Xenopus tropicalis: one gene and its partner. The protein of the gene in region 1 purifies or fractionates together with the protein of each later gene. This does not show direct contact. Links are inferred from orthologs where the notes say so. Each region holds a gene or a part of one and is shown on either strand. Other genes may lie near its edges.

Region 1 (3,728 bases):
TCCGGACAGGCTGCATAGCTTCACCGTGACCCAATTGTTTGGCCCTTGGATCAGCCCACCGGACAAATATATGATAACCTGGCCACTATATCCATACATGTATGGCCAGTCACCCTACTCACCAATTGCACGGGAAAGGTTCAGGCCGCCGTTCACCCTGCCGTCCATTGTGACCTTTCCCCCCGCGTTCTTGATCCGCGCCAGTTCCAGCTCATCCTCAGGTTTGTGGTCATAGGACATGTCCAGCGCTTTCCCTCCCTCAGAGACCACACATCGCGAGTCCCCAGCATTGGCGACAATCAGCTGCTTCCCTCGGATTAGTGCCACCACCGCAGTGGTGCCGCTGTCAGAGCCCGGCTGAGAGGAGGAGGAAGCCACAGGAAGGTTATTTTTGGCCCATCCATTCTGCCACCTCAAACAGAACCAAATGCTCCAAAGACTTCTAATGCTCATCCATGCAAGAATCATCCAGCCCTACTCGCCTTCAGACAGGTCTAATAACCAATAACTCCCAGCACTCATTTAGATGCCGGGGGAGCTGGCCGCCATTAAGGAGGTGCCGGGGGAGCTGGCCGCCATTAAGGAGGTGCCGGGGGAGCTGGCCGCCATTAAGGAGGTGCCGGGGGAGCTGGCCGCCATTAAGGAGGTGCCGGGGGAGCTGGCCGCCATTAAGGAGGTGCCGGGGGAGCTGGCCACCAATTGCTCGCTTTAGGATAAGTATGATGAAACAGCAGTAGGGGCTGTTCCTATCAGCAAGCAAACTGAACTGAAAAACCCCAGAGGGGGGCAGCTGAGGAGGCTCTCCGAGTGCACAAGGAATTACAGGGGTAGAACAGGTCGAGGGCCTATGCCTTATGGTGTTGGCTGCAGGAGAACACAAGGTACAGGCAGAGAATAGGGACTTAGCTTCACTTACCTCCTCTTTGCCTGCCATGCCAGGAAGCATCATTTCTTCATCCTCCTCCTCCTCTGCATCCTCACTGTCCTCTTCATCCTCTTCCTCATTCTCAGCTTCCTCGCTACTGTAGTCTTCCTCGCTGCACTCCTGCGGGACCATAGGTTAATAAGCCGTACCCATCTATATGACTGAATAGCAGCCTGCTGATAGGGTTTCTCCATAGGGAAGAGTTAAACCCCATTATTTATTTATTCAGCCAATAGAAACCAATGCTTAACAAGCCATGATCAGTTAGAAGCTGGCATTATCAGTTATTTATATATCAAATATGTTACACATCGGGCTGCGCACAGGAGCAGACACGGAAATTGGCGCTCCCGGGGTCAAAAATAAAAAACCCCCCTTACCAGCCCCTAGACACGAGCAGCACCGTGCAGGGAGGCTCGCCCGCTGGGTGTGATCGCGGAGGAGAACCGGCCGCGGCCTAGTAGCCCAGCTGAAGCCGCAGGCTAAATTTTAGCCGCACCCACTCGCGACTTCTGGGAGAGCCGGATCAGCGCCAAACGATCCGGAATCGGCGCCCAACCTGTGAGACTGCCATATAAGCCTGGGTGAGTGTGCCTGAGACCCCAGGGGCGTCACATACCGGCTCCAAGCCCATATACAGCTCCACACACAGCTGCAGACTGCTGCACCCTGCCATCAACCACTGCACACTGCTTATATTAGCAGAACCAATACTGAGTGCTGGAGATCTTAAGCAATCACATGGGCAGCTACATGCAACCTATACAACTACTTGGCATTTTGTAATTGACCAGAATCTAGACCTACCCCTCAGAATGGAGAATTGAGGGATAATATGTAATACTACCATCCAAAGAGCGCTCTCCAACTGTATATCCTAATATCCAACCCACAACCAACAGCAACACACCTTGTGGGAAACCAGCATCTGAATCATTAAGGCGGAAAATGGGGAAACAAAAACCAGATGCAGCGGCGAGGCTGGAGCGATTTGCACACACAGAACCGCAGGACTCCCAGCCCACCACAACTGGCGACTCAACCCCATCATCACCCCCTTTGCCAGAAATAGCAGCGGAGACTCCACAACCCTCGTCAAGCGAACTCCTGACGGCTATACTAGAAAGCCGAACAGCCGCTACAACACAACTGGAGGAAAATAAAGATAGATATTTCTCTCCTGCGCCACGACCTCCAAAACATTAGAGAGCGCACTACTGAAGCTGAGGCTAGAATTTCCACACTAGAGGACATGGTGACACCGCTCCCAAATGATATTACATTTATCAAACAACTGCTCCAGCAGGCGCTAGATAAAACAGACGACCTGGAAAATAGACTCCGCCGAAATAATGTCCGAATTGTGGGCCTACCAGAAAGGACAGCACCCCGAGACCTTCATAGAAAGCTGGCTTAAACAAACTCTTGGTAACGAAACCTTTTCTAGCGCATTTGTGGTTGAGAGAGCCCATAGGGTCCCCACCAAACCACATCCCCCAGGGGGCCCCCCAAGACCACTTCTCCTAAATATTCCAGAGGGGTCTCAATCCTAGTGAAGAGGTCAATCCCGTTTAACCTGATAACACTCAAAACGGACTATTATGGAAGGTTCATCATTGAACATTGCACTATAGCTAATTTTCCTCTAATTATAGTTAACCTATATATGCCACCTCCATTTACCATAACCACACTAGATACTATCAGTAAAAAATTAGCTGACCTCCCTACAGCTCCCACCTGCTATATGGGTGACTTTAATGCCTTAATGAACCCGCAAATAGATAAATTAAATCCTCCCTTTCCCACTGGGAACAAACTAATGTTGTGGACAAAAGCACTAGGACTCAGATGCGTGGAGATGGAAAAATCCTGACCAGAAAGTTTACTCCTGCCACTCCACTACCCATCACTCTCTCACAAGAATCGATCTAGCTCTAGTAACATCTGAACTCCTACCTAGGATAACAAAGATACAATACCTCCCTCGAGCCCTGTCCGATCACTCTCCCCTCTCCCTAAACATAATAGGTACCCCTCAAACTAATCTCTGGAGACTCAGTCCAATTTGGCTCAAGAACAACACTGTGCTAGAAAGTGCAACCGCAGCGGTAACTGAATACTGGGAGACAAATGAAGGATCAGCCTCTCCACAGATTGTATGGGAAGCATCAAAGGCATATATTAGAGGGCAACTCATTTGTGCCATTAAGAAAGCCAGAACAGAATCCAAAGCTCAAGTGGTAGAAGCTGAAAAAGACCAGGAAGAGGCAGAGTCGGCATACGCGGCCAATCCAAATCCAACCAATTACAGCAAATTGGTAAACTCCCACCATACCCTAGCTAGGGAACAAACTCTCCTCATACGTAAAGCTCAACTATATACACACCAACACATATTCGAAACTGGGGACAGGAGTGGCAGGACACTAGCCTATCTAGCCAAATTACAAGCTCCCTCAACCGCAATCGCTTTGATAATAGACTCAGATGGCACCCACCACTCTACAACCCAAGAAATAGCAGAAGTCTTTGCGACATACTTTAAAACATTGTATACTACTAGAGCCACCTACAATGAGGCAGAACTACAGCAACACATTAGCAACATTCCCATACCCACATTAACAGCAACCCAAAGAAGTATTCTAGACTCTCCCATTACCAAACAAGAACTCCAGCAGGCTATTAATGGCCTAGCCCCCGGCAAGACGCCAAGGCCCAATGGCCTACCAGCAGACCTATACAAGAGTCTTACGGATGAAATAACCCCCCACTTACTAAACACACTCACAACAGCGAC
Region 2 (5,072 bases), on another chromosome or scaffold:
CCCTAAAGTACTGGCCAGTTGTTCTGTCAGAAGAAAATCTGATGATTGTTGGAATAGAGCGGACACCGCTGCAGATTCACTCATTAGCACAATCAGTCAAATGAGGCAAAGTATCTTGCTATTCAAATAGAATCCTGCCCATACAGCACAGACTTGTTTTGCAGTTATCTGACTGACTTATATAAGCGCTACCTTTTGTCCAATCTCTACCTTTTCACTTAACATACACAACACTTCTAATTTTTCGTAGCCAATTGGGCAGGTCAGACATTTAACTGGCTGATCCAACAAGGGACCAGAAATTGGATCATTCTGTGTGACCTAAGGAGACATCAACATGCTGGACAATTTTCAGGGAAAACTTTATTTGGGTAGGTCTCTTGAGGACACCATATACAGACCAAGAAGGGCAGCGGGACACAGTGAGATTAGTCGCCCCGCGACAAATCTTCATTGTTATGGGCGACTAATCCCCCGCAATGCCATCCCACCAGCTAGAATGTAAATCGCCGGCAGGATGGAATACGCATTTCTGCAATGTCCCGAAATCGGCCGAAATTGTCTTGAAAGGAAACTTTGGGACACTGCAGCGACGCATATGCCATCCCACCGGCGATTTACATTCTAGCCAGTGGGATGGCATTGCCGGGAGATTTGACACTGGCCAATTAATCTCCACGTGTGCCACTGCCCTAAGTGGATAAACTGATCTAAAAGTCAGTAGCTTTTTTTTTTAGCCTATGCAAGGCCACTTTAAGTGATTGTTATTATAAAAACAAAGTGACATGGAGGTAAGAGATGAATTCTGGCATGAGGAAAGGTACATGATGGTTCTATTAAACCAGTGGTGCCCAGATTTTGTCACTCTGTGATCTACTCTTCCCACCTGGCCTCAGTCATGAGCTCTACCACAGTTAAAATAGTGCAACGTCTATCATTTGGCACAATAAGCAACAGAAATATCAATGGATGTTTAACAAATACACATAGCAATATATAAATGCAGTGCCAAATTCACATTTAATGCCCACATAACATTATTCACGTGCCAACTTCAAGTTTAATGTGAAAGGATTGTAGTAGTTTTTACTTCCCTTCCTTATGGCCCACTTTGTAGTCTGCACACAGAAACATATATGAAGTGGGAACAAATATATACAGTGGCCCAGTGGGGACAATCTTCTATACTGGGATGAAACTACAAAGACGGCTTGAGCAGTCGCACTTGAAAGCTTCAGTATGCTGGGGGGGGGGGGGGGGGAAGTGGCGGGATGTCATCCCACTGCATTCCACCTTGAGGTCTACCGGTAGACCGTGATCTACCTTTTGTGCACCCCTGTATTAAACCCTGCCCCCCACCCCCAGCCTGGTCTTTGCCAAGTAAAGATGGCAGCCATTGGCACCACTTGTTTCCCGAGATCCTTTCCTAACATTTCAAAAACTTAAAGGAACAGTAACACCAAAAAATGAAAGTGTTTTAAAGTAATTGAAATATAACGTACTGTTGCCCTGCACTAGTAAAACTCGGGTGTTTGCTTCAGGAACACTACTATATTTTATATAAATACACTGCTGAGTAGCCCTGGGGGCAGCCATTCAAGCTGGAAAAAAGTCACAGGTTACATAGCAAATAACAGATAAGACACCATTGTATTCTACAGAGTTTATCTGTTAGCTGCTATATAACCTGTGCCTTTTCTTCTTTTGAATGGCTGCCCCCATGGCTACACACCAGGGTTTATATAAACTCTAGTAATGTTTCTGAAGCAAACATACAATTTTTACCAGGGCAGCAATACAGTATAGTTTAATTTCTTGAAAATATATACATTTTTTTGGTGTTACTGTTCCTTTAAGCGCAGGTCAGTTTTGAAGAAAACAGTAACATGTCAGCTTCATGGCAAAGCAATACAAAACATTTGGTACTTAGAGAATACCTTGAAACAGGAAGCAAGCATTTAGTTTGCAGGGTTTAACGACATTTATTGCAATACAAGGAAGCTCACAATGACAGGAATGTGGCATGTCACACTGCACCTACACTGAGTTCTGTACATTCTCCAAGGACTGCAAAAAAATGCAATTTGTCAGCACAGGAAAATCACACAACACGCACAGAGCAGCCCAAATGCGACATCATGCGATGCCACAAGGAGCCCCATTAGCCCCACATAGCTGTGCAACGCAACGTGCTTTACCACCGCCCCCCTCGCCGCTCCCTCTTCTCGCTTTCTCATTGGCCGAATTAGACCCGGCTAAATGGCTCCGCGCCTCCCCATTGGCTAGCGCAGGGTGGCGGGCAAGTTAGGCTGCGCCAGTCTTGGCGCTTTTCACTGAGGCCTGGCCGGGCACCACAGCGCTAGCCATTTCAGAACAGCTGGCGACCTACTGGCAGTGGCAGTCCCAGCAATTCCCGGCTTCCTATGTGCTGCGGGGGTTATCAGAGAACGATTACCCCCCAGGCCTAATAAGTCCAAATAAACTCCCAGCATGCCCCCTGCCAGCTTGGTGGCTACTTTGATAGTGGGACTCTTTTTATAAGTGTCGCTGTTTCCTGCATGCGTTTAATGTAGTGGGAGAGCCGGCACGGCCAACCTAAGGCTCCGTGTGGCTGTCATGGTGCCTCCCTACCCGGCTTCCTTCTCAAGCCCAACTTCTATCATTTCTCACCAGATTCTCGACTGCAGCTTGCTCCAGGAACTTCTGCGCCGCCTCCAACTCATTGCGGTCTGAGGGAAAAGAAGGGTAGACATGGGTTCAGGGCCCTGCCGCTCTATTGGGGATCCCCATGCATTTCCCTGCTGCCCCCCTCCCCTCACTGTTATCCCACACAATAATACCCCCAATAACCAGCCGCCCGTACCCGGAGACACGGTCTTTTCGAGGATGGTGACGAGCTCCATGCGGGCGGTGCCGGGTCACAGAGCTCAGGCGGGCTGCCGGAGTGAGCAAGCGTGGCGCGGAGGGATTCGAGCGCGCTTGTGTCAGAGGGAAGAATGGGGCTGAGGAGGTGTGGCTCTGCTGCGCACGGATATCTGCCGGATCTAGTTGTACGTCCCGGAAACCTATTGGTTGTTGTGAGGGGACTTGCTGCGCCTAAGGAGTGCCGCTAAGGGTTGTGGGGGAGAGGGGGTGCGTCCTATTAGGTAGAGCCAATGAAAGGGCGGGCCCATTAGCCAAGTCCTCACACTGTGGGGTGAGAGTGTTCCCTTTCCGTACTGAGTCATTATTACACTATGGCGAGCTGAAGGGTAGTTGAAAAGTACGATACTTTTTATTTTATTGTAGAAATGGAAAAGGCGACTGCTGCTGTGGTTAGAGCTCCCCAAAGGCATTCTGGGTGTTGTAGTCTTTCAACAGCTGAAAGAGAAGTTTAGCGCTTCCAATCTGCTTAGTCATGTGGCCGCCGCTCGGCAGGCTGTAGTGCTAGCAGCGCAGCTTTACTGAGCCCAAGTCATTGGATGGCTTTGTACAAACCACGACAGATGTTTAGTGGCAGGAAATAGAAAAAATGCACCAAAAAAAAGAGCTGGATTAAAAAACAGTCATTTTTATTCAATCCTATATGTAAAAACCTATATGTACAGCCATGGAGCTACGCTTAACGCGTTTCATGGCCTCAGAAGCATTATCAGCCCGTAAGTGGGAGGGGCTTATATAATCCAACTAGTCAAAAGACTAGTTGGACTATATAGACCAGGGGTCTCAAACTCGCGGCCCTCAGTACAGTATTTTGTGGCCCGCACCAACGCCTTCTCAAAAGCAACGAATGGATCGCGATTTTTATTGCGATTCAAGGGATAATGCAAGGCACGGCGGGCGGGAGCTGCTGATTGCGGAAATGACATTATGCCATCATAACAGTTATTATGGGAAGACATTCTGTGTGCACAGCTGCTAAGGAGCTAATTGTGCACACAGAACATCTTCCCATAATAACTGTTATGGCATAACGTCATTTCCGCAATCAGCAGCTCCCGCCGTGCCTTGCATTATCCCTTGAAAGCCAATTTTTTGTGAAATCCCTTATGCGGCCCAGCCTCATCCTGACTTTGCCTCCTGCGGCCCCCAGGTAAATTGAGTTTGAGCCCCCTGATATAGACTACATGAACCCTTACACACCACACAATATACATAAAAGAAGTACAAATAAGGATAGCAAAATAGAAATACTTATAGTTAGGAGGACCCAAATATAATGGAGGGAGAATCAAAAAGTTAACCCCATTTATACAATTCTCAATAGAAACAGGATAACTCCCATTCCCTATTCATCCCACCCTGGAACTCCAGGGAATTCAAGTTATAGATCCAAAAAGCCTCTTGCCTTAACAGTCTCCTCTCTAGATCCTTATCTGAAAAGATGGCCTGTCAATAATCTGAAAAGTAAAATGTGCGTTACCGTCATGTTTCTTCAAAATACGTTTGGACATTGCTGATCTTAAGGGCAGTAACACACAGGTAGATTAGACGCGCCTTGAGAGGAAACTTCGGGCGACATTGCGGCGCCACGTATGCCATCCCACCAGCAATTTACATTCTAACCGGTGGGATGGCATTATGGGGAGATTAGTTGCCCGTGAGAATGGAGATTTGTCGCGGGGCGACTAATCTTCCCGTGTACCCCTGCCCTAAGTCTCCTGTCTCTAAAGAGTCCAGAATGCATTTAGATACATTCCATATGGTCTTCCCCACATACTGAGAACCACAAGAGCATGTTAATATACTACACCCTTATGGTGCCCATACACGGGCTGACTATAGCTGCCGATATTGGTCCCTTGGACCGATTCGGCAGCTAATCGGCCCGTGTATGGGCAGAACAGAGTGGCCTGGCCAACCGATATCTGGCCTGAAATTGGCCAGATTTTGATCGGCCAGGTTAGAAAATCCGGTCGGATTGGGGACCGCATCGGCTCGTTGATGCGGTCCCCGAACCAACTGCCCCATAAGCTCAAATGTAATCCGATCGTTTGGCCCCAGGGTCCCAAGTCCCTTGCTACCCGATATCGCCCACCCGTAGGTGGGGATATCGGGTGAAGATCCACTCGCTTGGTGACATCGCCAAGCGA

Evidence for each region. Proteins that work in one complex are often made in the same cells at the same time.
Region 2: the proteins of ppm1g (region 1) and kpnb1 purify together in Homo sapiens (affinity purification with mass spectrometry; 3 studies listed by BioGRID and IntAct, with this or other methods). This does not show direct contact. The link is inferred for Xenopus tropicalis from reciprocal best matches to the Homo sapiens genes PPM1G and KPNB1.

What each region holds. Positions count from the first base shown.
Region 1 is NC_030681.2:162,047,093-162,050,820, forward strand, and holds part of ppm1g (protein phosphatase 1G), read right to left. Parts: intron 1,046-3,728; coding exon 917-1,045; intron 358-916; coding exon 123-357; intron 1-122.
Region 2 is NC_030686.2:10,834,458-10,839,529, forward strand, and holds the start of kpnb1 (importin subunit beta-1), read right to left. Parts: upstream 3,094-5,072; 5' UTR 2,904-3,093; coding exon 2,864-2,903; intron 2,730-2,863; coding exon 2,671-2,729; intron 1-2,670.